7 linked regions of the Callithrix jacchus genome follow. The protein of the gene in region 2 interacts with the protein of the main gene of each other region in a pairwise test. Links are inferred from orthologs where the notes say so. Each region holds a gene or a part of one and is shown on either strand. Other genes may lie near its edges. The genes, in order: RAB29, LDOC1, LENG1, TNNT1, CTNNBL1, PEG10 and ZBTB16.

Region 1 (4,482 bases), on a different chromosome or scaffold from region 2:
AACTTGAATAAATAAATAAAAGAGTATAAAGGGACATGTATAAAGGAAATAATAATGCTCAGAATCTGAAGTCTACATGGAGGGAAGAAATGATGAGTCCAGTGACAGAAATAGGGAAGCTGAGAAAAGGAGCTATTTTTGTGGTGATGTAATAAGAGGGAGGATGTGACCGGACATCCAGGTGAAGGCATCTTTTGGGAAGCTGAATATCACTGATCGAAGATAAAGAACAAATAAAGTGAAGATAGATCTTTCACACCAAGGACAATTCACTCAAGAGTTTGTAGAATGATTGTCTCAGAGACCAAGAATCAAGCTTTAGGAAACACTTAGAGGGAAATGGGATGGAGAGAAACCTCAGAGAAAAAGATAATCATCAGAGAAGTAGGAGGATGAAAAAGAAAGAACAGTGTCCTAGAAGGCATATGGGAAACAAATGTCAAGGAGTGGTCAGCTATGTCAAAGCAAATAGCAACAGAGAAAACTGGATCCTTAAAGGTGAGTAGCCTGGCCTAACCTCCTGTGCCTGGGCAACAAACATTCTGGGCAAAATATATTGTGGACCATGCTCATGCTCTTTCCCCACAGAACATAAGTGATAGCCTCTCTATCAAGAGACCTAAGCAAGACTCCATAGTGTCTGGTCCTGGGCTGTTCACATGGCCTTGCTGGTTCTCTTCCTCAATTCCTAGAAAAAGTATAGAAAATGGAACTCTCTTTGCTTGCCATTGAGCTCATGTCCTGCCAACTCCTACCTAAATGACAGGCAGGTCAGTAAAGTTACAGGCTGAGAAATTAGAATTATTTGTCAAACCCTAGTTTTATGATGATCTGTTAACAACAGCCACAACAAATCAGCGATTCCCAGTGTATTTCAATTAGCTTCTAGCTCAAATGATACATGAATAGCATGGTTAGAACAGGCATTGTAGAAGTATGAATGGGGACTGTCTTCTGTTTTCTGTCTATCTTTATTGTTATTGCTGGATATTAAATGCTGTAACTTTTGGCATAGGTTTTTCCAAGGAATGGTCTCTTGGGTCAAATTTCCCTGATCTTGCCTGGTATTGGGCACGTTCATACGGAAAATATGATTAATTTCACGAGGTCCTGGGCTTGTCTGTCTATTTGAAGGAATAGGAAATGGACTTCACTTGGAGCATTATCTATGATGCTTGGGCTTTTATTAATGAAATAAGTTTTAATCTTAACTACGCAAAACCTTTAAAGACAGGAGAAAACTGTCTGGGGACAGATTCAGGCCAGTGAGATCACGTTGCACAAATCTCTTAAGGGATCTTTACTGACCCAGAACCGTTTCAAAATAAGATTCCGAACTGTTGAAGGAGTTTGAAGCCCTGAAACATTGTGTAGGTTGGTTTAAAACAAAAAAAATGAATACACTACATTTCCTAGGAGGCTTCGCGGGTAAGCCTCTGCACTCGGCTAGTTCTCTCTACCGCGAGGATAGTTGGGAAATGTAGTGCTCCAGGCAACCCTGCACGTGACGCTTGCGGAGGAAGGCGAGAGAGGCGCGGGAGGGGGGTCAAGGGAATCAAGGTGCCGGCTGCTTTTTCCTCACAATTTGATTTGTGCAGCAAGGGGAGGGTCCTCATCATCTGGCCCCAGTGGTGTAATGAGCTGACTGGGATTCAGTTGCTGGCTTGGAGCCGCTCCGGGGAAGTCCCGGTGGGTGAGGTTCCGCAGCGCCTGGTCCCGTTTCTCGGCAGTCGGGTAGGGGGGTAGGGGGGAAGGTGCGAACAGCCGGGGCACGGAGCTCGCGCCCTGCGCCCCACCCAGGTTGTGGCTGCCCGGGGAGGAAGCGCACATAGGTTGAGTGCAAAGTTTCCTTTTTTGCTTTCTCGTCAGAGCAGCCCTCACAGGCGGTGGGTGGGAATGCCTCACTTCAGTTTGAAGAGGGTCCGGAGCCAAAGGGGTTAAAACAAGCTACTTCCCACTTTCCGCCTCTCTAAAACGCACACTCCGCTAGCCATGGGCAGCCGCGACCACCTGTTCAAAGTGCTGGTGGTGGGGGACGCCGCAGTGGGCAAGACGTCGCTGGTGCAGCGATATTCCCAGGACAGCTTCAGCAAACACTACAAGTCCACGGTGGGAGGTGAGACGTCTCTGGGGGGAGGAGTCGGAAGAGGCCCCGACCGCGGACTCGAGCTGGGGACCCAAGTGGGATGGGGATTTGCAGTCGGTTGTTGGGTCCTTCGGGCCAGGAAGTAGTGTCTGGGAATCTGGATGGAGTAATTGTTGGGTATTTGGTTTACACGCCTCTCTTGGGTTTCCCCAGTTCGATTTTCCTAACCTGAACCTACTGCCTGGAGAAAGGTAAGAGCTAAGGAGTGACGATGAGAATAGGGAAGGGAGGCTGAGGATGAGCAATTGCTGTTTATTGCGAGCTCACTGTGAACGCAAGTCTCCTGCCTCAGCCTTTCAGCTGTCAGGGGCAAATCTCTCCAGTCAGCAGAAGCAGCTGAGATCCTCTCCTCTGTAGGGCCTCCTGGTTAGCTGCAGTCTGGGGCTGTTGTCCTGCCCCTCTCTGTTGAGGAAGGAACCGCAAGGTGTTTAACCTGGCTTCTGGGGGAGAACGCAGGAAGCAGAAGTGGTCGGAAGAACTTTAGCTCAGTTATGGGGCTGTGGGTGGGATGGAAGACACAAAATCCCCAAACAGGCTCCTTGGCTACGCAGTCAGATGCCCGTGAGGGCTGATGAGCTGTTTTTGTCCGTTGATTGCTTAAATAAAGGTAACCAAGGAAGTCTTCGAAGAATGTGAAATATACCACTTCTCTGATCTATCTTCCCACCACTTTTCCCCTCAAACTGGAGAAGGTAGGGAGGAAGGGAACACCGTCATTTCTTTCTCGGGCGTAGCCTTTGGACTCAACTGTTTTTTCAGAGGTAGAATTGCCTTATTGTTAATTAGAAGGTATTTAGCTAGAAAGAGCTGGTGATGGGGGAAGAGTAACTTAAAATTTTATTTAGGCCTGGCGTGGTGGCTCAAGCCTGTAATCCCAGCACTTTGGGAGGCCAAGGCGGGTGGATCACGAGGTCAAGAGATCGAGACCATCCTGGTCAACATGGTGAAACCCGGCTCTACTAAACATACAAAAAAATTAGCTGGGCATGGTGGGGCGTGCCTGTAATCCCAGCTACTCAGGAGGCTGAGGCAGGAGAATTGCCTGAACCCAGGAGGCAGAGGTTGTGGTGAGCCGAGATCGCGCCATTGCACTCCAGCCTGGCTGCAAAACTCCAGCCTGAGAGCAAAACTCTGTCTCAAAAAAAAAAATTATCTCTGTTAAAATAACTTAAGGGGAGGAAACTTGTACTAATGGAAAAATTGAAAATGTGTGCTCGTGTTCATATGGAAGTTTAAAAAGAAATTAACAAGCATTTACATTGCAACTGAAACATTCTCCTTAAGAACCCCCAGCAGGGCTGGGCACAGTGGTTCACTCCTGTAATCTCAGTACTTTTGGAGGCCAAGGTGGGCAGATCATTTGAGGCTAGGAGTTCCAGACCAGACTGACCAACATGGTGAAACCCTATCTCTACTAAAAGTACAAAAAAATTAGTCGGGCATGGTGGCACACGCCTGTAATCCCAGCTACTTGGAGGCTGAGGCAAGAGAATCTCTTGAACCCGGGAGGCGGAGGTTGCAGTGAACCAAGATCGCACTACTGGACTCCAGTCTGGATGACAGAGCAAAGACTCTGTGTCAAAACAACAAAACAAAAAAACAGTAGGGCCCAGTGAGGTGGTTCATACTTGCAATCCCAGCACTTTAGGAGGCTGAGGCAGGTGGATTACTTGAGACCAGCCATGGGAAACATGGCAAGACCCCACCTCTACAAAAATTAAAGAAAAAAGTAACTGTAGTCCCAGCTACTCGAGAAACTGAGGCGAGAGGATTGCTTCAACTCAGGAGGTCAAGACTTCATTGAGCCCTGTTCACACCACTCACTGCACTGTAGCCTGGGCAACAGAGCAAGACACTGTCTCAAAAGCAAAAGAATAAAGAAATTTACGTCCGGCAAAATTAAAGATTTAACGTTTCAGACGCTCTATCTTGACCACTCAGCCCTCCCACTCCTAAATAACATAAGGTCCCGATTTCACAGATTTGAGTTAAAAGTGTCCTCCTATTAATAGTTAATTTTTAATAATTGCTATAGTTTTCCTTTAGCAAAGAACATAATTAACTCTGGCTAATTTTTTTTCAGTGTTTATTCTAAATTTCCCTTAGCTTTGATTCCTGTCACAGATGTGAAAGATAATGTTTCCAAACCTCAGTAATTACTGTTTCTCTCCTTATCCAAAAGCTTTCCCCGCAGAATACTCACCCAGCCTTAACTCAAGGAGTGTCAGCATTTGCAGACTTGGTGGTAGATTCAGCAACATCCATGCAGTGTCTTCATCCTGGGACTCCTCTGGGACCTTTTCCATTTATTCCATTCTTGCCCAAGATAATACCTG
Region 2 (3,710 bases):
TGCCCAGCTATTTTTTTGTATTTTTAGTAGAGACGGGGTTTCACCAGGTTGACCAAGATGGTCTTGATCTTTTGACCTCGTGATCCACCCGCCTCGTCCTCCCAAAGTGCTGGGATTAGAGGCTTGAGCCACCGCGCCCTGCAGAAATATTTGTTAAGATCAGGGTTTATCTTTATGGGTACACGTGCCCAGGATCCAGGATTTAATGTTAGCTGGAGCATCTGAGAGTGACATAAAAGCAATATACTATGTTGGCTATTTGGAGCCTGAACTCAGCAGCTACACATAGGCAATAAGGATTAAGGGGCAGAACTTCCCTGGTACAGTGTTAAGGAATCTGAAAGCTCAGATAATTGGGAGCATTACATCTCTCTCTCTCTCTCTCCCCCCTCTTCCAGGTTTATGACTGTTGTTATGGTCTAATTATTAATACTGCCTCTTTGCCATCTGCTCAGCCAAGCCTTACCCATGCCATTCTGGAGGAACCAGAGGACATACCCTTTGCCAGGGCTTTATGAAATACATTGGTGAAGGGAACATCAGAACACTGACAGAGCCCTGAGGTAGCTGTCGCCAACAGCCTGGAGATGACAGCGGGGAACCCTGATTTCCATGGGAATAATGGTAGACAGAGTGACAGTGTTGGAGGCCAGTGACAGCACTTAACCATTAAAAGACAATCATTTCTTTTTTTTGTAGTGCTTGATATTTATTGAAAATAATGCCAATGCTTTTTCCAGGTAGTATTGAGGAGCTGGGCTGAGTGCTTGCTTTGTTCTTAGTATTATTTGTCCAAATGCACACATCTGGGGGACTGCTGCAATTTTGAAAGTAAAGTGACAGCTGTGTAAAACCAATGCATAGGAAAAAAGAAATGTCAACAATTTGGCTGCCAGGCACACCAAGCCCCTGCAGCAATCTGGTGGGGCATGGGAGGACCCTCAGAGTGGGTAGAAAACTAACCAGGCTGAATGATTGGCCCCTTCATGGGTTGGTGAGCTGTCCGAATCAATGTCCGAAGAGGTATAGCCAACTCTGGCATCTTCCAGGTTGGTCCTTACTTCGAAAGGCGGTAGTATGTAGGTGGGATGTGGTGAGTGGATGTGAAGTGGCAGCATAGTTCTCTGGGCAGATGTAAGCCTGGCAGTAGGGTAGGTGGCAGCAGCAGGGCTATGGGTGGTATGACCAATTTATAATGGGGGCATGGCCAATAACTGGGGCTCAGGACACAGTTCGGATTAGCAGGGGAGGGATTCAGGGGCTGGCCAGGGTAGATGACACTTCCAAGCATTTCCGAGTGAGTGAGGCTTCAGCCCCAACCCCAGCAGCAGGTAAATGGAGCACTATTCCTGGAACAAAGACAAGCACTACGGAGAAACGAAGAGAGAGAACTGAAGGGCGCGAGTAGGGAAGGGGACCAGAGGGCAAGGCGGAGAACAGTGGCTCCCGGCGGGGTGAGGGCTGGAGAGAGGGGGTGGCGGCGTGCAGGGCCCTCCCCGCTAGGCCTGAGGGTCTAAGGCCTAGTAATCATCCTCTTCGTCGTCGTCGTCGTCTTCATCGTCATCCCAGCCAAAGCACTGTTTCATCTCATCGAGGAAGGCCCGGTAATCACCTAGGATGGGGCTATCCATCTCGATGTAGGGCACCACCCACTCCTCGGCTTCCCCGGTGAGGAGGCTGATTAGGAATGCCACCTTCATGGCGTCGTTGCAGAATCGGTTCTCGTTCACGAGCATGTAAGACGCCGTCTGCACGATAAACTCGGGGAGCCGGGAACTCTCGCCATTAAACGTTTCGGGGAAGGGCACCGGGCAGCTTGGCGGACGTACCTGGCGCAGCAGGCTGGCCCTCTCGCACACCAGCAGCCGCAGCTGTTCCATGAGCTGGCTGTTCTCGATGCTCAGGGCGCGGTGCCGCATCAGGAGCGCATGCAGCAGCAGCACCAGCTCATCCACCATGGCGAACGGCTTGGAAGTACAGGGCTCGGCTCGGTGCGGCTCGGTGCGGCTCGGCTCGGACAAGGTGCGTACGGAGGCCTCGCAGGAAGTGCTTGTCCACCAAGGCGCGCGAGGGCCAGGGGCGGGGGGCGGGGGGGCGGTGCGGTGCGCGCCGGAGTCCGGGAGGCTACGCAAGCCCCGCCCACGCGGCCTTTCGGACGGACGGTGCGCCGGCGCGGCGCGGGAGGGGCGTGGCCAGGCGAGGGGCCGCGGAAGCGTGGGGGCGTGGCCGGGATGGGAAGAGTGTAGACACACAGGGCTTGGCTAGGACTAGGATGCGCTGGGTTGCTGAACCACCGGCTTGTCGTAGCCCTCTAGGCGGGCAGTTAAAGGCTGCGGTCGGCTGTCAGAGCTCCTGGATGTGGGGCCTGAATTAGCAGAGGACCTGGCGAGCGCTGAATCCGGTCTCAGAGAAGGTACACTTGTTCAAGCTGAAAAGATTAACCACTCTTCTACCTAGCCAACTCGCACAACTCAGTGTTCCTTCGTGGGTCTGTGGCCACTAAATTCTCTTGGCGCGATGTTTTATTAACACATTTTCTTTCTTGTTTAAATCTCACTTAGCGAAGTATTGACACTGCTGGCTGCACTGTGGAAGTCACACTTCCTTTCAGGGTCATGAAGACCCTCAGGGGGTCCTGCCTTTCATGAAAAAGGCAGTATTTAAACAGTGACTTATTTAATTGGGAAATAATATGATATACCTACCTTAAAAAAAAAAAAAACCTAAATAGCAAGATATAAAAAGTTCTGCAAAATCAGCATCCGATAACCAATTGCAGGCATCCCACACATTTTATTCTCTATTTCTTGTTCTGCTACTAGTGCCATTGGCCACTGGGTATTATTCTCTACTTAAAAATGAACTGTGAAGATGTGAGTGTTTATAAATAATTTTCTTTTTCTACTTTAAATGGATCTCTGATCCTAGAGCTATCATGAATTATTGGCTCTGCTTTCAAATATATTGCCAATTCAATCATGTCTTGCCATTTCTACCACTGCCACCCTGATCCCCACCCAGCCTTTCTTTCTCACACACTGCTGCAACTAATCACTTAGCTTTCGCTTTTTTCTACCTATAGTATATTCTCCATAAAGTAGCCACGGGAATCATTTAAAACAAAAATTAGATCCCTTCACTCCCTTGCTCAAAATCATCCAAGTTTCATCTCAGAATAAAGAGCAAAGTTGCAGCCAAGGTCTACAAAGCCCTTCCTTCTATCCTATGCCTCTTCCCATTTTCTGCTATGCTCTAATCACTGTCCTTGCTGATTCTCACACACGTCAAGTAGTTCTGGCTTTGTAGCCTTTGCACCTTCTACCCCTTCTGCCTTGCAAGACTTGTCCCAGTTGGCTGCCTGACTCCTTCACCTACTGCTTTCAAAGAGAACTTTTCTGGCCACCGGACCTATCAGAGAACCCTGTTCTCTGCCACCAATCTCTAACCCTTGACTCTGCTTCATTTATCTACATAACATTTACTGTGCTACTGGCCAACATGTCAAATAGCACTTTGCTCATCATCTGCTTCTATTTTGCAATATATGTGTCAAAGAAACACTGCCTTTGCTACCTGCTGTATCCCTAATGCCTAGAAAAATTCTGGCCCAGAGCCAAGGCTTCATTAATGTTTGGCAAGTAAAATAAGCTCAGAGTGCTGATGCTGAAAAAAAAAATTAGAAGTTGTGGCTGCACAAAGTGTCAAAAAAT
Region 3 (4,538 bases), on a different chromosome or scaffold from region 2:
AAATCAGAAGTGAAAACTAAGAAAACTTGGACATAAGTATCTGCCATTAGTCATCACAGTGAGGGTGTCTTCTCATCATGTAGCCTCTGGAAAGCTGCACTACCTGCCTGAGAATGAGTGTGAAAGGCAAACAGTGTTAGGAAAATAGGCTTGACACCACGGCACCCCCCGGAAAGGGAGTCAGGACCCCTAGGGCTCCCTGGACCACATGGTGAGAACCACTTTTCCACCCAGCCATCCCTTCACGGGGTCCCTGGCTGTTCCACCCAGAGCTCCTGCTGTGCCTGTGCCAGGCTGCTGCCAAGCCCTGAAGATCTGGGTCCTGCTCTGCCAGGGCAGGGTCCTCCTCCTCACCCCTTGGGTCGCTGTGTCTCAGAGCCATCCTTTTCCTTTCTGCTGTGATTGCCTTCATCACTGCTGTGCCGTCTCTTCTTCCCCAGATGCTTCTGCATCTCCCGCAGAGGGTCCAGGCGGCTCTTTATTTTCTCATCTGGGGCTGGGCCAGGCGGGGGACCCCCTCGCTCTGGTGGGAGCTGGTACCAAGGGGGTTGAGTCTGGGCCTCGGCTGCACTCTGGCCCAGGTATGTCAGGATGCCCAGAGCTTTCTCTTGTCTCTCCTGAGGGGTCAGGAAATAAAAGAGATGGGATATAATCTTTCAGGGTGTCAGGTTTATCTCCCTGACACAGGTATCTAAGGCCTATGGTGAAGCAGCTGTGCCAGGTGCTGGGGAGGGAAGAGACCAGCAGAGGCCAAGCTCCTGCCCTGGGGTGACGATAGCAGGGACAGTCACAGAAAGCAGAGGAAGGAGGGGATGGGGTGGAGCTGCCTGAATGTTCAGAGGCAGGCATCTTTGCAGGGAGCAAGCAAAGCAAGAGGACCCGTGGGTGGGGTCAGCAAGTCCAGAGACAGCAGGTGAGGAACAGGAGCTTTTACACTCGATCTTAGCCAAAAGGCAAGAAGTGATTGATTCACTTTTTTTTTTTTTTTTTTCCTGAGATTGAGTCTCACTCTTGCCACCCAGGCTAGAGTGCTGTGGCACGATCTCAGCTCACTGCAGCTTCCACCTCCTGGGTTCAAGCGATTCTCCTGCCTCAGCCTCTGGGACTAAAGGTGCATGCCACCATGCTCAGCTAACTTTTTTTGTATTTTTAGTAGAGATACCATGTTGACCAGGCTGGTCTTGAACTCCTGACCGCGGGTGATCTGCCCACCTCAGTTTCCCAAAATGCTGGGATTACAGGCATGAGCCACCACCAAGCTGATTTAGATTTTTAAAAGCTCATCAGGTTTGAGACCCCTCCAGTTTGGAGACCTGAGCAGTTCACCTAGCAGCTGGGGATCTCGAGCATCTACCTCCAAGCCCTGAGGGCACCCAAATGGCAACAGCCACCACTTCTGAGTGTGCTTTGGTATGGTTCTAAATTCTGAGTGTTCACTCTTGTTTAGCCTTAGTCACAACCAATGGCTAAAGTGTCCCTCCCCCCAGCTCCATTCATGTCTCTGATGAAGTAGATAAGGCCAGCTTACTTTCTCCTGTCGCTTTTCTTCCTCGTGCTCTTTATTGCCTCTGATCAGGCCTTTCCCCTCCTCCAGCAGCTCTCGAAACAGGTCCACAGGGCCAGAACTTGGGGCTCCCACCTCTGCTGCCTCAAGCTCAGGCAGTGAGTTCTGATGTCTGGCTTTCTTCCGTAGGAATTCTGTACGGGCCTGGGGAGAAAGTTACAGGCAAGACATTAAAAACCTAAAGGTAATTCAAGAACTTTTAAGTCTGGTGCGCACCACAGGAAACAGCAGTCCAGGGTGCTGGGTTTGTAAGAAAGGGGGCACCTGTCCTAGCAGGGGTGAGGGTAGGCAGATAAGGCAACACCTGGGTTTTGTAAACTGCCTTTCAAATAGTAAACCACACATCAAGGATGGCTGGGAGGAGGTCCCTGGCCTAAACCAAAGGGGTTCCTAACCTCAAGTGAGACAATTAAAACAGCTATAAAGGTAGAACAAACTGCATTAGGTCAGATGATCTGGATTCCAGGCATGGCTCCAAGTCATTACCCCAAGTCCATTGATGAAGCCCGGTCTCCCACCTTCAGGACAAAGCTCTCAGCAGCCTACTGAGATTCTAAAAACCCAGACTACCTCCCTCCCAGTGTGGAGGATCAGACTGGCTAAGGAACTGAAAGTTAGGTGTACACCAAACAGATTTAAGGAGCTATACATAAAGCCCATGTTTGTGTGTGTGTCTGGGGGTGGTGCAGGGAAAGGGCTCGCCCAAGGGGGTGGAGACTTCCCCTCCCTTGACGCCATCTCACTTCGTGCCACGGAGATGACAATGCCTCTTTAAGAAAGAACGGTGCTTAAGGGGGATTCTGGAAGTCAGGCGTTCTGCATGCAGTTAGCATACAGTAACTGCTCAATAAATAGACTGTGCAAGCCAACTAGAAAGTGATCCGAATTTCCTCAAACTGTCCAAGGAATCCTGAATTCGGTAAACATTTATGCTTCTCTTTTGTGCTAGACACTGCTCTAGCCATGTGAAATACATCAGTGGGGGGAAACAAGACGAGGGGGCGATCAAGGGAGATTTCATGCAAGTGGGCACAACGTTTGCCGAGCAACGTTTCGGAAAAGAGGTCCGCGCCGGGTCACGAATTACATACGGGGCACACGGCGCCTGCGCAACGCGTCCACTTCCGGCCCCCTACCATGGCGCCTGCGCGCTGGGCCCCGGAGTTCCGCCCGGCCGGTTCCCAGGCTTACCTCCTGCTGAGCCAGCAGCACCCTCCGCTCACGCTCCTTCTCTTCCTCCCGGGCCTGGGCCTCGTCACGCCGCACGCGGGCAACATTGTCCTTGTTCCGGACGTGCCAGCTCTTCTTGGGCAAGATATTCATGGCGTCGTAGCAGTCCACGGACTGGCACGCCCGCCTCTCTGCACTTCCGATTGGCGAGAGAATGCCCCTTCCCTCTTGTCCCTACTTCGACCACAGATTGGTTCTTAACTCATTGGTACGGCCCCCTGGCCTGTAACGACAGGTGATTGGCTAAGACGCCCTTTATCTCAGCGAATGCCAGGCTTTTGGCGCGTGGTATCCCCTAGCAACCGCTTTTCACATATCCGAGCCAATCGCAAGTTGGCCCTCCCCTAATGCCAGATTCGGCCGCCGATTGGCCAACACAACCATCAAGTCTCCTTGCGGAAGAGCACTTCGAACGGCCACACATTCCCATGCATTTGATTGGCTCCCGCCCTGATGTAGCCCTGCCCCCACCTTCAGGACGCAGATTTCAAAGCGCGCTCAGTCACCTCGGCTGTGTTTATTCATAGAAGAAAGATCACCCGAGAGTCTGGGACGTGGCGGCGAGGGTCTCTGGAAACCTCCAGATCCTAGAGCTGGAAGAGCGTGGGGTCTTCTCTAGTTCTCCTAGTTTTACAGATGTGACCTAGGCTTACAATTGGCCTGGAGTCTGAAGGTGGGACATGGGCTGCAGGGGTCAAAAAGCCGGGTGGGTGGAGCTCAGCGCCACAGCGCGCCGTGCGAGGAAGACTTTGTTCTGCGCCTCCTGAGGCAAAGAGAGGTGGAGGTCAGACAGCCCTCTCCCCCAATGCCTTTCAATGTCCCCCACGGGGTCCCTCTCAGGGACCCGCCTGGCTCACCGTCTCTCTCTGACGTTTGAGCTGAGAGATGAGACGACCGTAGGAGTTAGCCAGAGCCACAGTGTACGCCATCAGGATGCTGGAGGAGACACGAACAGAAGCCACTCCTGACACGCTCCTCCATTCTATACAAACCCCTGGCTCCTTCAAAGCCAGGATGTCATCTACAAGGACTTCAGTCTCCCAGCCCAGGAGTCCTAAGTCCCACCCTCCTCCTCCTCCTCCTTTGGACCCTAGGCCTCCTCCCACCCCGAGCCTCTCCTCTCTCCGACGCAGGTGGTGGCCCCCAGATCACGTGCATTCAAACCCAGACCCAGAAGTCTGGGCAAACTCACCTGGAAATCAGCAGAAGGGGTACAGCAAAAGCCTGAGTCCCCAGGAAGAAGAGGAAGTTCTGGGCGGTCTCAGGGAGGCTGGAAATAGACTCAGGGATCTGGGCCCAGATGGACGACTGCCCCCGGAATGGACCACATAGCTTAGAAGGTGGGATCCTGAAGTCAAGATAGGCTGGGCTCACGTAGAGCCAGGAGTCTGAACGCTGAACGCAGGGAGAGGGAGGGAAAGAGGCAGGAGCCTCTCGCACTTACAGGAAGATGCTGTAAAGCAGAGGAACGCTGGAGATGGCCAGACCCAGGAGAAGGACCAGGGGGAAAAAGAAATTCGCTGTGGAGGCCCGGAACGTGCGGGCAGCCGGAGAGCAGGTGAAGAAGAGGGTGAGCTGGCAGGGGAAGGCACAGAGGAAGGGGATCTGAAACAACGGTCTGTGCCTCCTGCCTTTTTTTTTTTTTTTTTTTTTTTTTGAGACGGAGTTTCGCTCTCGTTACCCAGGCTGGATTGCAATGGCGTGATCTCGGCTCACCGCAACCTCCGCCTCCTGGGTTCAGGCA
Region 4 (4,503 bases), on a different chromosome or scaffold from region 2:
TCCTGTGGGGCTCTCCGTCCCAGGGGCCGGCCCGTCCCACTCACCTTCCGGCTGCTCCCTGCGGACGGGTGTGGGGAGAGGGGAGGGAGGGGAGAGTCAGACCCGGGCTGGGGGCGCCTCTCCAGCACTGCACGCCCCACCCGCGCCCAGCGCCGCACTCACTCCTCATATTCCTGCTCCTCGGTGTCCGACATCCTGCTGCCACCTAAGAGAGAAGAGCCTGGTGGGGTGGGAGCCCAAGGAGGGGGCGGCCTGGACTCCTGGGTCTGAGGGAGGAGGGGCTGCGGCCTGGACTCCTGGGTCTGAGGGGGGAGGCGCTGGGGGCCTGGACTCCTGGGTCTGAGGGAGGAGGGGCTGGGGTCTGGACACCTGGGTCCGAGGGAGGAGGGGCTGCGGCCTGGACTCCTGCGTCTGAGGGAGGAGGGGCTGGGGTCTGGACCCCTGGGTCCGAGGGAGGAGGGACTGGGGTCTGCACTCCTGGGTCCGAGGAGGGAGAGGCTGGAGTCTGCACTCCTGGGTCTGAGGGGGGAGAGGCTGGGGTCTGGACTCCTGGGTCCGAGGGAGGAGGCGCTGAGGGTCTGGACTCCTGGGTCTGAGGGAGGAGGGGCTGGGGTCTGGACTCCTGGGTCCGAGGGAGGAGGGGCTGGGGTCTGGATTCCTGGGTCCGAGGGAGGAGGGGCTGGGGTCTGGACCCCTGGGTCCCAGGGAGGAGGCGCTGAGGGTCTGGACTCCTGGGTCCGAGGGAGGAGGGACTGGGGTCTGGACTCCTGGGTCCGAGGGAGGAGGAGCTGGGCTCTGGATTCCTGGGTCCGAGGGAGGAGGGGCTGGGGTCTGCACTCCTGGGTCTGAGGGAGGAGGGGCTGCGGCCTGGACTCCTGGGTCCGAGGGAGGAGGGGCTGGGATCTGCACTCCTGGGTCCGAGTGGGGAGGGGCTGGGGTCTGCACTCCTGGCTCCGAGGCGGGAGAGGCTGGGGTCTGCACTCCTGGGTCCGAGGGGGGAGAGGCTGGGGTCTGCACTCCTGGCTCCGAGGCGGGAGAGGCTGGGGTCTGCACTCCTGGGTCCGAGGCGGGAGAGGCTGGGGTCTGCACTCCTGGGTCCGAGGGGGAGGGGCTGGGGTCTGCACTCCTGGGTCCGAGGGGGAGGGGCTGGGGTCTGCACTCCTGGGTCCGAGGCGGGAGAGGCTGGGGTCTGCACTCCTGGGTCCGAGGGGGGAGGGGCTGGGGTCTGCACTCCTGGGTCCGAGGGGGGAGGGGCTGGGGTCTGGACTCCTGGGTCCGAGGCGGGAGGGGCTGGGGTCTGGACTCCTGGCTCCGAGGGGGGAGGGGCTGGGGTCTGCACTCCTGGGTCCGAAGGGGGAGAGGCTGGGGTCTGCACTCCTGGGTCCGAGGCGGGAGAGGCTGGGGTCTGCACTCCTGGGTCCGAGGGGGAGGGGCTGGGGTCTGCACTCCTGGGTCCGAGGGGGAGGGGCTGGGGTCTGCACTCCTGGGTCCGAGGCGGGAGAGGCTGGGGTCTGCACTCCTGGGTCCGAGGGGGGAGGGGCTGGGGTCTGCACTCCTGGGTCCGAGGGGGGAGGGGCTGGGGTCTGGACTCCTGGGTCCGAGGCGGGAGGGGCTGGGGTCTGGACTCCTGGCTCCGAGGGGGGAGGGGCTGGGGTCTGCACTCCTGGGTCCGAGGCGGGAGAGGCTGGGGTCTGGACTCCTGGGTCCGAGGGGGGAGGGGCTGGAGTCTGCACTCCTGGGTCCGAAGGGGGAGAGGCTGGGGTCTGCACTCCTGGGTCCGAGGCGGGAGAGGCTGGGGTCTGCACTCCTGGGTCCGAGGGGGGAGGGGCTGGGGTCTGCACTCCTGGCTCCGAGGCGGGAGAGGCCGGGGTCTGGACTCCTGGCTGTCTCAGGAGGACAGGCCCTGGTAGGTGTGGTCTGAGGCACAGCCCGGAGGCTGCAGACCCTGCCCCCCTCAGCACAGCTGTTCTCTTTTGTCTTATGACAAGCCCATGGGAACCTGATCCAGCTGGGATTAGGAGGAGGCATTTGAGAAGGGACAGTGGCCTGAAGACAATAGCTGCCCCACCCCCAGGAGCTATTTTGGGGGGATGTCGTAGATGGTGAAACAGAGGACATTTCCTAAGAAGGGATTTGAGGAAGGGGGGCTTCTGGGAGAGCTGGTCACCTGCATCCCTCTCCCACCCACCCCTCCCGCTGGCTGCTTTCCTCCCCACCTGTCTCCCCTTTCACCTTCCCATACATCACACGGGGCGGGGGGGTTGGGGCAGCGCCCAAAGGGCACCTTCTGTCCACAGACCTCACTCTGACCCCTACATTCTTAGACCCCGAAGTCTTCAAGACATCCTAGGCCACAGGGTGCCCATCCCCAAATCCCAATACCCATGGATTCTGAGACCTGGATTTTTGGTGCCTGTGTTTCTGAGACCACAAGTCCTCACAGCTCCAGATTCTGACAGCCCATTTCCTGATGGTCCACATATGGGCCAGGACATCCTAAGACCTCCTAAATTCTGAAGCCTCGAGAATATGAGACCCCCCCAAAACCTTGATACCCAAACTCGGAGGCCCAAATGATGACGCCCCAGATAATGACACTCCAGGTGGTGATGGTTTCTATCCTAAACCTCAGATTCTGAGGCTTCCACTCCTAAAACCCCAGATTCTGAGACCCCGCCCCAATTCCTGATACCCTCAGAGTCTGAGCCCCAAATCCTGATACCCAGACTGTTTGACCTCCAAGTCCAGATGTCCCTGACTTCTGAGCTTTCCCCCAAGACCCCCAGAACCCCAAGATCTAGGTGGTTTTATTCTGGGACACCCAAGTCCTGGCAGCCCCAGACTAGGATCTCTGTAACCCACAAATCCTAATATTTTCCCCTCTATCCCAAGTCCCCCTAAAGTCCGAGCCTCTCAAGTTCCGAGACCTCCAGTTGTATTCCCCATGTACCTCTGCATGATTTCTCCACACCCCACATCTTCCCCACCTGCCTCCTGCCCCCTCTCCCAAGGACACCGTCCGTGGAGATCACAGGGCCCAGCAGAGCCCCTTACCTATACCTAGGCTGCGTCTGAGATCCTGTGAATCTTGTGGCTGAGCCTCACCACGGGCACTGAAGCTCCAGGGGTTTTATAGCTGGAGGCTGGGCCCCGCCCCGAGGGGAGAGGGAGGAGGAGAGAATTCCTTTGCTCAAACACAAGTCTGGGAGCTCAGAGACAGCCCTGCTGTTCCTCTCGTTTTTCAAACTAAGGGTCCAAATGCCTCCGTGGGCTCCTCCCCAACCCCATCAGCGGGGCCCTGGAGCCCTGCTCCCACCCCCAGCCCCAGGCCCCCACGGTGCTCCAGCTACCTCCCTTATAGCTGCCTCCCTGCATTTGATGTCCCAACGTCCAGCACACAGTAGGTCCTTGGAGAACCTACTAATGACAAAAAGGCTATAAGGAATGTTTCCAGTTTTCCTCTCTGTTCCCTCTTTCTGGACCCGTTTCTGTGGTCTCTGTGGCTCTCCATCTGTGTATCTCTATATGTCTGTCTCTGCTGCTTAGTCTCCCCCTGTGTCTGTCCATCTTTCTGTCTCCCCACCCCCACCCCTTTGTCTGCCACCAGGATTCCATACTTGTGACAACAGGCACTAAAGCCAGGAAGCAGGTGTTGGGGGGAGGGGAGGGGAGGATGGGGTGTCAATTAGGGTGGAAACCTACCCTCTCTCCCCCCGTCCATCTGACACTGATCTTTTTTGGCATCCCCCTCCCTCTTCCCAGCCAAGCCACGACCTTGAACTCCAGGTTCAACCAGCCCTGGAGAGCAGACTTCCTCACCCTTCACGCCTCTCAGTGTCTGTCTCCTGTGGTATCAGTCTTTGTGTGTTTCTATGCATTTTCTGGGGTCCCTCGCTGGCTCTCTGTCTTGGGCTGTCTCTGAATCTGTCTCTTTCCGTGACCCTCAGTGTGTTTCTTGGCAAATGTCTCCAGGTGGTTTTGTCTCTGCATGTCTGCCCCTCTCTGCGTTTGTGTCTGTGGGGGCTCACAGTCTCTCTGTGCATTTCTGTCCACCTGAGACCCCATATCTGTGTGGGTAACCCCTTTCTGGGCACCAAGGAAGGAGAGCTAAGCAGACCCCCGGCACGATTAGTGCCTGAAGAATATCTTACTGCTCACTCCTCACTTATTTCCTTTTATATATAATCTCTTCATAGATAATCATGCCTTAGTTTGTAGTTGGAGGAATGTCTAGAGCAGACACACTGCAGAGCATGAACTAGGGAAAAACAGCCACACCAGGACAAGAATCAATGACCCAGGCGGTAGAGCCCCTGCCTGAAAGGGCAAGCGCTACGTGGCAGGTCTGCCCAGGTGGCAGCGTTCGGGTATGGTAATGACACCCGCTGTATGGCAGGCTTGCAGCAAGAGTCACTCCTCCTGAAAGGGAGTTGTAGTATCTTGTGCAGAGTTCTTGTGGAAAGCTGGCCTCAGGCTGGCAATCCCTCCAACGTCCGAGGGCTT
Region 5 (3,816 bases), on a different chromosome or scaffold from region 2:
GAAGACTGAAGAAGCCAAATGCATCTTCTATTTATGCTATTTACTTAAGAGAAGGTGGGTCATTTCAATAAAAGGACAAGCAATTAGAAGGGCAAGGGAGATAAACAAACAGAAGACTCAAGAGAGCAAAGCTAGCACAAATCAGCTAAACACAAAAGCCCTCTGAGTAATTTCTCATGTCCCTCTAGCACTTAAAAAAAAATGTTTTTAAAAGCAACTACTCAAAGGAAGACTTTTGGTCAATGCAAGGTCTGGTACACACCGGACAAATGAAGAGATCTATTGTGCCTCCAGCCCTCCAGAAGCCTTTTAAATATAAGATATTTTAGAAACATACACAGTAAGTCATCACTTAACATCACAGACAGACTTAGAAACTGCAATTTTAAGTGAAACAAGATACAGCAGGTCAGATCCTCAAATAACACCGTGATAACATTGATGAGAAAAATTGGTTTCATTATATATCATTTCACTTAAAGGTGTGGATTCCAAGAATGTTATCAATGATGTTAAGTGAGGACTTACTATACCTGGATAACCCTAACATTAAACATAAAAATGGTCGTAGAATTTGTTATAACGTCAAAACATTGGAAATATCCTCAATGCCAACAACAGAAGAATACTAAGCTACAGTCCCTTTAAAGGCCATTATGGAGTTACTGAAAATTCATGAAGATTATATACAGCATGGGAAACAGCATGTGATGTTTACAAAATAGCCATATAGAAAATTGTATGTGTGGCAGGCTTAAAAAATTGGTAGAAATTATAGAAAAAAGACTAGAAGAAAACATATACCCAAAGACAGGCTGTGTTTGGGTCACAGAACTGTTTTTCTAACTTCATGGAGACAGAAATTCTGTCTTACATATTTCTGTGTAGGCCCAGCCCTTAGCAAGTACCTTATCGATGTTTTCATAGAAGTTTTGTATGTTTGTATTCCAAATTCTGTTTAGAAAATATATGTCACATTTCTGAAAAACCTTTTCAAATAAATATCTTAGTTCAACAGAACTCTCAGTGTGCTTGAAGTTTTAAGACAGCAGACTCTGGCTCAACTTCTTTCTTGTTTTTTTTAAATCTCAGTCCTGCTCCTTCTGTAGGGCACCATTTCATAATAACTAGAATCTTCCAACCATATAAACATGCTCAATTTTTTTTAAAAAAAGTCCCTTGACCCTACACCACACTCTGGTTATCCCCTCAGCCCTCCCCCATACACTTCTCTACTCCCTTTCCTAGACAGAGTCTCAGGAGTTATCAATATAAGCTTCCTCTCCCCTTTTTGCTTCTGACTTTAGGATTCTATAAAATAACTGTGAAACTAATATGATATCCACTTTCAGGCATTAGCCTATAAATAATAAGATGTATAAGGAAAGTACTATAAATGAAAGTTCTAGAACTATCTTAAACATTTTCATATTTCCTATGCTAGGCATACAGCACATGTACAACTCATTACTGAATGAGGAATGAAAAACATGAAGGATATATTGCTTTCAATAAAAATACAGACAAACATATGGCATAGATAGGTCTATGTGATATATACAGAAAATTGCTCCAAGTTTAGAAGTAATGGCTAGATTTCCCAAAAACTAACACGTTATGGGAAGGATTAAAAAAAAAAACCCATTTAGGAAAGACCACATACATACATAAACACATCCCCATGCCTGAAGTCTTTACTCTTCAGGATTTAGTCGAGGAAACTCAACAGAATAAATGACCATAGCTACATGCTCTTGAATTCAGGCTAAAGTGAGGCAAAAAAATTGGGAGAAATAGGGTATTCGAAACATACCTGAGCATGAGATTCATCAGCTGAAGACCCTCGCCCTTCAGGAAGCGCTCACGATTGGAACTAAGCATTAGACAGGAGCAAAGGGAATCAAACAGATTCTCCATCATCTCCTGCTCCTCGGCTGTGCTGGGATTGTGTCTTTTAAACACCTGTCAAGCAAAACACCACAAAGCACAGAGCTGTAAGAGAATGTCTTTTCATGAGCCGCCACCCAACCATTTCTAAAACCTGTGGGTCATAACTCTATGGTTGAGGAAACAGAAGCTCAGCAAACAAAATTCTCATCAGTTTCCATTTTAGAGAAATGAAATGATTCACATATAATAAATAAATGCAAAAAACCCACCAAAACACTCAACTGACCACCGGGTCCATCAGTAATTGACAGCTCCAGGCAAGCAGATTTTTTAAAAAACCAAAACCAAAAAAAAACCCAAAACCTTTTTATTGTAAAATATAATACAGATACAGAAAAAATCCATAAAGTACATATAGAACTAAATGAATAAAGTGGACACCCCGAAAACCATTATCCAGGATGAGAAATAACTTTGCCAACTACCCTCAAAGCCCTCCACTTGCCCAACCCAACCATGTCTCATATTTTTCCCTTCTAGAAGCAACCATAATCCAGAGGGGTGAATTGTGGCTCAATATAAGAAGGCATTTCCTGACAATCAAGGCTATTCAATTCCCTTACATGGGAGCTGGGGCTTTAATTCATGGGAAAGGCTTACAGAAGTTTTCCTTTTGCCAGAGATGTAAGGCATGTTAACAGAAGCCTTTGAACCATAGATGCATATCCATACAATCTACTATGAGAAGATCAATCATCTCACAGGAAAAGGACTAAGCACATTCCCAGAATTGGAAACAAATTCACATTTCAAAGCTCTATTTTTGGGGTGGAGGCCAAGCCACTCAGGCTGCTGGCACCAAGATGGAAGCTGTATGCAAACTGACATCTCAGACTCTCCCAACACTCTTAAGATTTTATCCAAGTGATCTATTTTCGATCCTGTTTTTAGAATAACACAGATGAAGTTTGTAAGAGGAAATCTTAATGGTATTTTCAGAATGCCAGCAGAATAACATTTCAACTGGATTTACATTTCTTACAGTTGGAAAATGGCAGTTTCCAAGTTCTCACACCAGCCTTCAGCATCACATCCTCTCCTATATCCTCCCCTGGACCCCCACCCTACTGCAGTGGAACTTGTACTCCTTGAGCTCATTTGGATCCTAAATGAACATACTCCGTTTTCACAGCAGATTGCAAGGAAAGTTGGTGAATAATCTTGGGAGTGGGTCAAATGAAAATAATTTGGTATGCTTGGCCCAGAACACACACACTTAAGCAGGAGGCACATCTTTTTTGAATTGACAATATCATATCAGAAGACAAAGAGAGTCCATATCCAGTACACAGTGATGTCTGGTCATAAAGAGCAAATGACTAAGGAAAGGAGGCGAACCACATCCCTCCATATAACCCTCAAACCTGCCAACATGCTCCATATGGCTTGCAGCACATGGCTTATTCCTTCCCACAATTTCCAGCTCCACCTCCCATTCAAAGCAGGCCATATATCTTGCAGCAGACAGGAAGCATAAGAATTACTCACGGATAACTGCTGAAGAAGCACATCGATTCCATCCAGCTCCCCAAGCAATTCCCTGTTTTCTAAAAGGGGGGAAAAAAACAGAGGAAGAAAAAAAATGAACCTAACTGTCAGATTTTACAGCCGTCTAACACTGATACATCAGCAAACAAAATCAATACAGCTTGACAGAGTACAAAAGCAGCACAGGGAGCGAGAGGGAGAGCAAGGGGATGCCAAAGGCAAGAGAGCTTGCTGTCATGATCTGAAACAAGCCTGGCTCCTATCCTAACAGAATATCAATACTGAGAGGGCGCCTCACCATCATTGTCCTGGAGCAATATGGCCAGCACTTCACTGCAATACAGTTTGTTGGCATCGAAAGGCATCTTTGCCTATGGA
Region 6 (3,816 bases), on a different chromosome or scaffold from region 2:
TTCAAAGATAGGAGTGTGAATCTGGGTGCTAAATCATTTCCCCTGTCTCCATGCATCCTAACACTACAGTCTAATGAAGGGACTGAAGATGGAATGCCCAGATGCATATGGAGGCAGACACATGGATAGATACTTCCAAAACGTCAGCTGGTGGTTTTCCAGTCAACTAACAACACTCATGAAAATTCTTTCTGAAGTACCAGGACAAGTCTCTTAAAAGGTGGGTAAGGGATTTTGGAGTCCTTTTGATCTGCCACTCTTTAGCCTTCGAAGGTGATTGAGAGGTGGTCACATTTCACAAACCTCTAACACCCCTGGAACCACCAGTAATCTCTGGTTATCAGGTTTAATGCTTTGTGGAAGCCATTATGGCATGATGATGGTAAGGTGTGTGTCAAAGCCAGAGTCCTTGGGTACATGCGATTTGCACCACGATGTGATGGCACACTCTTAACATACAAGAGTCCATCTGAGAGGGCCTGAGGTGTTTCATGTAGCAAGGGTTTTGCCTGCCCCTGGGAGAACCAGTTGAGTTGCTGCTCCTTGAGAATTAACAGAACCATGGAAATGGAGTTTGAAGATGGTGAAGTTTCTAAGGGTGCAGCAGGATGATCACGGAAGCCTTTCCACACTGCACCAATAGTTTTGGCTTCCTTAATAAGGACTCGGTCCTCTAGTGATGTAAAGAGAGTACTGAAACTGCAAGAAAAGTCATGTCCTCCTCCACCTCCTCCTCCTTGTCTCCCCCTCCATGAAGAAATCAGCATTTGTATCAGCTTCTCTGTAAATGTTAAACAAGAAAATTGGCAGCCTATAATTTAGATGATGATAGAGGTTTTAGTAAGTAAAACCCAGACTTCCAGGACTGCCTGGAAAGTAAACTTATTAATTATTTTAGATTGGTAGTCAAGGTGGAAAACTGAGAGATAATTCGTTGGCAAATACTCTGCTGCTCTCAGAAAATGTTGAAAGTCTTTTGGTGCTTTAGGATGTGTGCCAGTCCAGGGTGGCGCTGACCTTCTGTAGCCGTTTCAGAGAGGATGTGCCTCAGGTGGCTTGAAGATACAGTAGCCTAAAATTTAGCACACAGTCACTGATTAAGAAGCTGAAAAGGAATAAATTTTGAGGGCAGAGATCCTGAAGGACATGACAAGTATTTACAGGGTACTGTAAGATGGAGGCGGCGGTGGCGGTGGTGGTGGAGGCGGCGGCTGTGGCGGCGGGTACTGTGGCACCGGAGGCTGGCGGTACCAGTGTGGATTCCAAGTGATCATAACAGGTACATACAGTGATCTTCCTTGTCCGTCTCGTCCCACTGGGTACCAGGCGAATCCTACTGGGTAAGTCGGGTACGCGGCATATGTGGGGTATGTTTGGTATCCAGGTATTTGAGGTACAAATTCAGTGTACGTTGCCAGGTGTGCTTGGTCTTCTAAATTTGGAATAGATAGGCGAGGATACTGATTCTGGATAGTAATATTGTTTGGAGCTCGGCAATCATAAGAAACTTGCAGTTTCCACCCCCTCTTCACCTGGAGAATTTGGGCTCCATTAGGTGCAACTGTTGGAGTAATTAGCCCATCCTTTACATTTCTTGCCACAAAATCTCGAAGAGCTGCCATATCAGATTCAGACAGTGAGTACACATGTCCGCTAGGAATACTGTGTGCTCCAGGTATCATTTCTATGTGAGGGTCAACCAGGCGGTGATCTGGGTAGACGTGCTCATCTACTGGAGTGTACACATTCTGGACATAGTAATACCTCACTGGTTGGTAAACTCTGTATCCATCTACTGGATAATAGAGTGGTGGTTGTGGTGCCGGTGGTGGGAGCGATGGTGGTATTGGAGAATACATCCGGCAGTGGTAGCGGCAGTATTCAGAATCAAAGACGATGGATCGAGTGCTCCAGGTGATGTTGGGATCATGTGTGCTCAGCCAGCGAACCCCCAGGACGACAGGGAAGAATGGAGACTGAGTCACATCAAATGACAGCACCTCACGGTGATCTCCCAGGTCAACTATCAGGTCATGAGTTTCGTGGACAACTGGGCCCGATGCTATGGGGCGCCCATCAATTGCTTCCACAAGTATTGGCCAGTCCTTGATTCTTAGAGGAATTCCATTTTGAGCAACGTATTCATGATCAATGAAGTTGCCAGAAGCACCAGAATCGATCATGGCTCGGACAAACAGGGTGTGTCTGCCCGGAAGATGAATCTGGAGCATCACTTGCAAGTGTGGAGATGAGGCATCATCTTGTGGGGACCTTATTATTTCTGGCCCGGTCGCTGAAGGTCCCTCTACAGCGGGGCCGGGGAGTTTCCCGCCGGTGAAGACTTCGAGGCCTTGGCAGGACAGTTGTCAGCATAGTGACCTCCTGTTCCACAGTAGAGGCAGAGGTTCAGCTTTCTGCGTCTTTCTTTTTCTTCCTGGGTCAGGCGCATGCGGGCACCTCCCACCGGCTCAGTTGGATCTACCTGGTGGTGGCTTGCAATGTGAGGCAACACCAGCGCCCGGGGTGGTGAGCGTGGCTTGCGAGCTGCAGCAGCCCTGGCCAGCCTTCTCTCAATGTGAATGCACTGACCTATCAGAGCAGACAGCGACTTGGCGACCTCGAGGTGGGAGAGCTCCTCCTGAATGTGGTCACTGAGGCCCTCGTGGTACTGGTCAATCAGTGCAGGTTCGTTCCAATCCAGGTCCTGGGCAATCATCTGGAAAGCATTAGAGTAGTCGATGACAGACCCCATACCTTGGCGCAGTCGTCTGATCTTGCGTTTGGCAGCCTCTCGCCTCTGAGGGTCTTCAAAGACATGTTTCATTTCCATCATGAAAGCCGGGTAGTTGTGCATCAAGTAGTGAGAGCGCTCCAGCTTTGCTGAGGCCCAACGTGCAGCACGGCCGGTCATCATGCTTGTCACGAAGCAGACACGGACACGATCAACTGAGAAATCTCTGGTGCTCTTTTCCATGAAGACCTGGCACTGGGACATAAAAGGAGCCAGCATGTCTGGGTTGCCATCAAACTTCTCTGGGAGGTCTTCTGGGCACTCTTCCTCTATTGCAGGGGGTGGGGCAGCAGCTGCTGCAGCACCGCGGAGCTCGATGTCATCATCCTCATCCTCTGGGGTGGGTTCTACCTGCTCTCGAAGGGTAGTGTTCTCCTCTGTGAGCTTCTGCACCTGGTTCTGCAGATTGTTGTTCTCCTCAGACTGCTTGATGACCTTCTCTCTTAAGTTGTTGATCTCTTCAGAGAGCTCATCTCTCCTTCGTTCGGTCATGTTGGGGACACACGCACTCTTATGGCCAGTGTGCTTGGAGTTGTTGTTGTTGTTGTTGTTGGGGGGAGGGGGAGGAGGAGGAGGTGGGCAGTCGGGACCCAGGGTGACGGTTGGGGTGGGAGGAGACCTCCCAGCTGTAACTTCACTTCTGTGGGGATGGAGGCCTGGATCCTGGCCCCCTCTTCCACTCCTTCTTTTTTTTGTTTTCAAAACGCGCTTATTTCTGTAAATAAAGATAAACATATAAATCTAACTTATACCTTCAAAGCAGCAAAATGTAGACACAAAGGATTTGATATTTATATTATCCCTTGTTCTATGTGCTTACTTTAATAATTAGCAAACAAACAAAAACAAACTCTCAAAGGGAAGTTATCAATCAGCACCATACAAAAAGCAAACTACTTTTTGATGTTCAAATGACCTTGTCCTTCTCAAAGACCACCTGTTGATTATGATTCAATAATATATTATCAACAGCATGCTTACCTTTATAAACTATAAGAGAATGTTAAGGCCTCTAAACAAGTAGT
Region 7 (4,313 bases), on a different chromosome or scaffold from region 2:
GTGACCCACAGAAATCTATGGGTACTGGGCTCTCCTGGGCTTTCCTCCCCAAAGCCTGTCCTCTCACCATCAGCCTTGGCCTCTGGCCTTCTACTGTTCTGAGGGTTATAAAGCACTGGCAGACCCAAGCCTTGCCCCCATCTCAGGGTACTAACAGGAACACACACACAACCCACACACTAACTTGGGTCATTTCTATCCACGGAAGACTCAAAGTTATTGAATATGTAATCTAAAATCTGGACTGTTTGTATGCGTATATGTACATCAGCCAGAGACAAAGAGAAAGATGTGTGGGGCTGGGCGGCAGTGGCTCACGCCTTTAAGTTCAGCACTTTGAAAGACCGAGGTGGGTGAATCACTTGATGTCGGGAGTTCGAGACCAGCCTGACCGACATGGAGAAATTCCATCTCTACTAAAAATCCAAAATTAGCTGGGTATGGTAGCTAACACTTGTAATCCCAGCTATTCAGGTGACTGAGGCAGTAGAATCACTTAAACTGGGAGGTGGAGGTTGTGGTGAGCCAAGATCACGCCATTGCACTCCAGCCTGGGCAAAAAGAGTGAAACTCTATCTCAAAAAAAAAAAAAAAAAGTGGGTGTACACACACACTTACATAAGGTGCTGTACCTACCCTCCTACCCATAACTGAGCAGTGGACAGGAGGATCTAAAAAACAAAGAAGGATGAGTCATTAAGGTATGGAGAGAGCCGGTAGTAAATATGCGCCCCTACAGCCAGGAGTGCTCATGCTGGGCTGGGTGTGTGAACTCCACGTGTGTCCCACAGGCTCCAAGGAGTCTGCAAGTCCTGTGACCAGGGGCAGCAAGGGATGCTGGCCATGGCTCAGAGGCTCCGGACGTGGTATTGGCACCAGCATCTGTGGTGTGAGTTATAACCAGTACGAAGGGAAGACAGGGCTGGGAAACAAAGGCCTCTCCCTGAGCCTGTTCAGGATCAATAAGAGGGCTCCTGTACTCCGAATCCCGCTTAAGGAGTGTTAGAAAGACCGCCCAGGCCCAGGGCCCTCCCCGTGTCTGCCTTGCAGCGGCCAATATTGCAGTGAATGAACTGGGAGCAAGGAACAGCAAGGTCTCTCCCTCACTCTTCAAACACTGCTTACTTGCCTCCACCCCCAGAAGGAGCTCTATCAGTTCAGGAGCCTCCACGCTCACACAGAAAGGATTCACAGGACGCCTGATCAAGACACTTTTGCTGCCCACCCCGGGGTGGGGATGGAGGCCGCCAAGGGTGGGATGACCATTCAGCCGAGCCTCTCCACCTCGTGCTTTCCCGCAGACATCGGGACTTCTGAAAACTAGGAGAGAGCAGCCAAAAGAATGGATGCTTGGCGCCCCAGAACAAGCCGTTTGGGTCCTGAGGGAAATCGGGGCACCCTCAGGCAGCCGTCTTCCCCACCCACCGCTCAGCGCCTGCGATCTGGCCGGAGCTGGCTGCAGCGTCCAGCCGGGCGGCGCAGGGAGAGCCGGCGCTAACCCGCCAGAGCCTCAGGATCGACTGCGCTCTCACACGCCCCCAGTTCCCAGCGACCCCCACCGAGAGTTGGAAACGACTTCAGCAAACTTGGGGAAGCAACTTTTCCCGAAGAGCTAGACACCTGAAAGAAGGAGAGCTGAACTAGGGGCAGGGGAAAGCGAAAGAGACGGGGAGGAAAAGCCACAGCCCGGGCGGGCAGGACTACGCGGCGGCAGGAGGCGGACCCGCCCCGCGGCGAAGGGGAAGCACAAAAGCCCCGCAGCGAGTTGTGGGAGGAAAGGCGAGAAGGGGTCTGCCGGCCCTCCCTCTCCGACCCAAGGCCGTGACCCCCAGGAGGGACCGGCTGGGTCCCGGGCCTCGGGCCAACAGCGCTAGCGGCCGGCGCGCCCGGCCCAGGCTCGGTGCGAGCGGCTCGGGAGCCGGCGAGCGAGTCGGTGCGGAGCGCTCTGTGCGTCTCGGTGGGTCCGCGGGCCGGCGGGACCGTGCGCATTTCCAGCGCGTGCGGGAGTGTGCGAGGCGCTGTGCGAGCGAGCGGCGGGCGCGCCAGGGTGGGAAAGGCATCCCGAACGCATCAGGTGCAGAGCCTGGCACCCACCGAGAGCGGCCGGGAGCGCACGGCGAGCTCCGGCGTCACCGCCCGTCCCGCCGAGAGCCGAGGAGGGCCCGGAGCGCTGGAAACCCTCTGGAGCTTCCCTCCCTCCCCTGCAAAAGGGGGATCAAGTCTAATCAAGAAAAAGCCCACCACGTTTTTTCAAAGAGAAACAAAACGTAAGCCGTCCCAGTCCTGCTCTCCTCCGCCCCCGCATCTACTCGTCAGCTTCTCCAATTCTAGCTTCCCAGCCGGCCGGCGAATAAACACACAAATAAATAAACCACAACCTTATCTCGCGCCCGCGCACCGGTCGGCAAACATAAGAGCACCCACGGGCTCTGCTCCTCTGCCCGCCCCTGGCAGTACAAAGCCTCCAGATCCCCGACCCTCTGCTCACGCCCTCAGCCCCCGCAGACCGCTACGCCCCCCACCTCTCACCCCGACCGTGCCCCGGAGAGGAAGGGCTGCGGAGGCAGCTGCGCCCAGGCTGACAGCCGGGGCTCCCCCTTCCAGCCGATCCCCAACCGGTGGTGGCGACGGCTGCAGCGGCAGTAAGGGAACACGCCAAATAAAAAAGGCACAAGCCCAGCGGCCGAGTGGCCGAAGCGAGCGCGCGCCCCCCAGACCTCTCCAGCCCCGGGGGGGCTCGGCGCGCGGCGTTCGCTGGGCGGTGCGCCTCTCCCCGGCCCCTCACTCACCGCAGCCGAGCCGGGCACTGTGGGGTGGGTGTGCGTGCCTGTCGGGGGGTGTGTGCCTGTGTCGGGGAGGGGTGTTGCTGGGGAACTGTTGCTCTCCGTATCACGGCGGCAGCGACGGCATCGCCCGGCAGTTCGCAGTACCCGCTCTCATCGCCCTCAACTCCTCTCTGCTGCGAGGTTAGCAAATCACCACCGGCTGCTGCGCCTCCGCCGCGTCCCACGTCAACGCCGAGCCCCCTCCCCTGCAAGGCCCCGGCGCCTCTCCATCTTTAGTGCTGGCGGCCGAGCCCGGCTCCCTGCCCACAGCTGCCCCCCTTCCCTCCCCCCTCCCGCGCCGTCCCCGGGCTCAGCCCGCCCACCACCCCGCACTGGCCAAGCCCGCGCGCGCTCCCCGCCCCACCCCTCCTTTCCCCTCCCCTCCCTTCCCCGCGCTCCGCGCTCCGGGCTTCGCCTGACATCTAGCTGCTGCTGGGGCGCCGGCGGCCGCCGCTCACCGGCCGAGGAGAGAGAAAGCAGGGAGCTAGAGGACAGGAGTGCAGGGAACTCGGAACCCTTAATGGGGGCACCGAGGGTGAAGGGCGCGCAGCAGCCCCCACCTACTCCCAGGATTTTAATTTCTATCGGATACGGGTTTGTGCCCCCTCCCCCGCACTCCGATGCTCAAGCACGCAGTTTTGTCCCCTTTTCCAATCTTTGCCCAATTCAGTGCGTGTCATCTCGCCTTTAACTTTCTTCCTCTTGGCTCGGGGCTGCGTTCCCAGGGGCCCCTGACATCAGTTTTAAAAGGCCGCTTTCCTAGCCCAAGCCTGGGCTTCCCATCCTTCTGGCTACTGCGCGCCTCCCGGCTTGAGCATCCGGATTTCAAGAAGTCTCCAGATGCAGAATTCGCGGGCCCTGGTGAACCTGGTGCCATAAGGTCCGCTGGGATCTACTGTCGAAGCGACACGCCCCTTTTTAGATGTCGCGGTTGCTGGAGGCCAAGGTCGAGTCCTGAGAAACTTTTATCTCTCCTAGTCTTGGACAACCTCTCAGCTCTGCCCCCCCCCCCCCCCCACACACACACACACACATACAGAGCAATCTGGGTGGAAACAGTTCTCTAGAACTGCCCCCAGCTCAGCACACAGTCTTCAGGGGGCAGGGGAAAGCTTGGAAAAGCTCTGGGCCCCTCAGAAGCGCGTCCTCCTCTCAGCTGGCCGCCCTACTTTAGAGGGTAGAGCAGCCAAAGAAAATGTACCTTTCCTTCCTCTGCTCATGTGAAGGTAAAAAAAGGGGAAAAAATTTTTTGGAAAATAAAAAAAGAAAATGTACCCTTCCTCTGACCGCAGAAAGCTGCTGTCCCCGCTTTTCTCTGGAGCTGAGTGAAGATAGGGGGCCAGAGGCACTGGCTGTGGATTCTGACTGAAGCCTAGGAGGTTGGGGTGGGAGGTGGGGGTGGCCGAGAACACCATGCAGGGGTCTCAGGCTAGTCAGCCCTCGAGGTCACGCGGTTTTAGCAAGGTGGAGCTTACATCACCCAGGCCT

What was found.
Region 1: the proteins of LDOC1 (region 2) and RAB29 interact in binary tests that used the Homo sapiens proteins (3 or more experiments, as listed by UniProt). The two-hybrid records come from large-scale screens. The link is inferred for Callithrix jacchus from reciprocal best matches to the Homo sapiens genes LDOC1 and RAB29.
Region 3: the proteins of LDOC1 (region 2) and LENG1 interact in binary tests that used the Homo sapiens proteins (3 or more experiments, as listed by UniProt). The two-hybrid records come from large-scale screens. The link is inferred for Callithrix jacchus from reciprocal best matches to the Homo sapiens genes LDOC1 and LENG1.
Region 4: the proteins of LDOC1 (region 2) and TNNT1 interact in binary tests that used the Homo sapiens proteins (3 or more experiments, as listed by UniProt). The two-hybrid records come from large-scale screens. The link is inferred for Callithrix jacchus from reciprocal best matches to the Homo sapiens genes LDOC1 and TNNT1.
Region 5: the proteins of LDOC1 (region 2) and CTNNBL1 interact in binary tests that used the Homo sapiens proteins (3 or more experiments, as listed by UniProt). The two-hybrid records come from large-scale screens. The link is inferred for Callithrix jacchus from reciprocal best matches to the Homo sapiens genes LDOC1 and CTNNBL1.
Region 6: the proteins of LDOC1 (region 2) and PEG10 interact in binary tests that used the Homo sapiens proteins (3 or more experiments, as listed by UniProt). The two-hybrid records come from large-scale screens. The link is inferred for Callithrix jacchus from reciprocal best matches to the Homo sapiens genes LDOC1 and PEG10.
Region 7: the proteins of LDOC1 (region 2) and ZBTB16 interact in binary tests that used the Homo sapiens proteins (3 or more experiments, as listed by UniProt). The two-hybrid records come from large-scale screens. The link is inferred for Callithrix jacchus from reciprocal best matches to the Homo sapiens genes LDOC1 and ZBTB16.

What each region holds. Positions count from the first base shown.
Region 1 is NC_133520.1:33,292,887-33,297,368, reverse strand, and holds the start of RAB29 (ras-related protein Rab-7L1), read left to right. Parts: upstream 1-1,494; 5' UTR 1,495-1,560; exon of another isoform or gene 1,561-1,990; 5' UTR 1,991-1,992; coding exon 1,993-2,116; intron 2,117-2,129; exon of another isoform or gene 2,130-2,337; intron 2,338-4,482. UniProt on the Homo sapiens protein: The small GTPases Rab are key regulators in vesicle trafficking. Essential for maintaining the integrity of the endosome-trans-Golgi network structure.
Region 2 is NC_133524.1:138,057,493-138,061,202, reverse strand, and holds LDOC1 (protein LDOC1), read right to left. Parts: upstream 2,089-3,710; 5' UTR 1,959-2,088; coding exon 1,521-1,958; 3' UTR 684-1,520; downstream 1-683. UniProt on the Homo sapiens protein: May have an important role in the development and/or progression of some cancers.
Region 3 is NC_133523.1:47,340,361-47,344,898, forward strand, and holds the start of LENG1 (leukocyte receptor cluster member 1), read right to left. Parts: upstream 2,911-4,538; 5' UTR 2,888-2,910; coding exon 2,756-2,887; intron 1,709-2,755; coding exon 1,529-1,708; intron 618-1,528; coding exon 355-617; intron 1-354. Other genes in the region: voltage-gated chloride channel TMC4, read right to left, coding at 3,489-3,557, 3,652-3,730, 3,987-4,142, 4,239-4,369.
Region 4 is NC_133523.1:48,010,339-48,014,841, forward strand, and holds the start of TNNT1 (troponin T, slow skeletal muscle), read right to left. Parts: upstream 3,107-4,503; 5' UTR 3,055-3,106; intron 206-3,054; 5' UTR 195-205; coding exon 163-194; intron 59-162; coding exon 45-58; intron 1-44. UniProt on the Homo sapiens protein: Troponin T is the tropomyosin-binding subunit of troponin, the thin filament regulatory complex which confers calcium-sensitivity to striated muscle actomyosin ATPase activity.
Region 5 is NC_133506.1:33,215,044-33,218,859, reverse strand, and holds part of CTNNBL1 (beta-catenin-like protein 1), read right to left. Parts: intron 3,810-3,816; coding exon 3,737-3,809; intron 3,498-3,736; coding exon 3,439-3,497; intron 1,963-3,438; coding exon 1,814-1,962; intron 1-1,813. UniProt on the Homo sapiens protein: Component of the PRP19-CDC5L complex that forms an integral part of the spliceosome and is required for activating pre-mRNA splicing.
Region 6 is NC_133512.1:54,928,926-54,932,741, forward strand, and holds part of PEG10 (retrotransposon-derived protein PEG10), read right to left. Parts: intron 3,507-3,816; coding exon 2,306-3,506; coding exon of another isoform or gene 1,158-2,305; 3' UTR 1-1,157.
Region 7 is NC_133511.1:13,736,561-13,740,873, reverse strand, and holds the start of ZBTB16 (zinc finger and BTB domain-containing protein 16), read right to left. Parts: upstream 2,959-4,313; 5' UTR 2,790-2,958; intron 1-2,789. UniProt on the Homo sapiens protein: Acts as a transcriptional repressor. Transcriptional repression may be mediated through recruitment of histone deacetylases to target promoters. May play a role in myeloid maturation and in the development and/or maintenance of other differentiated tissues.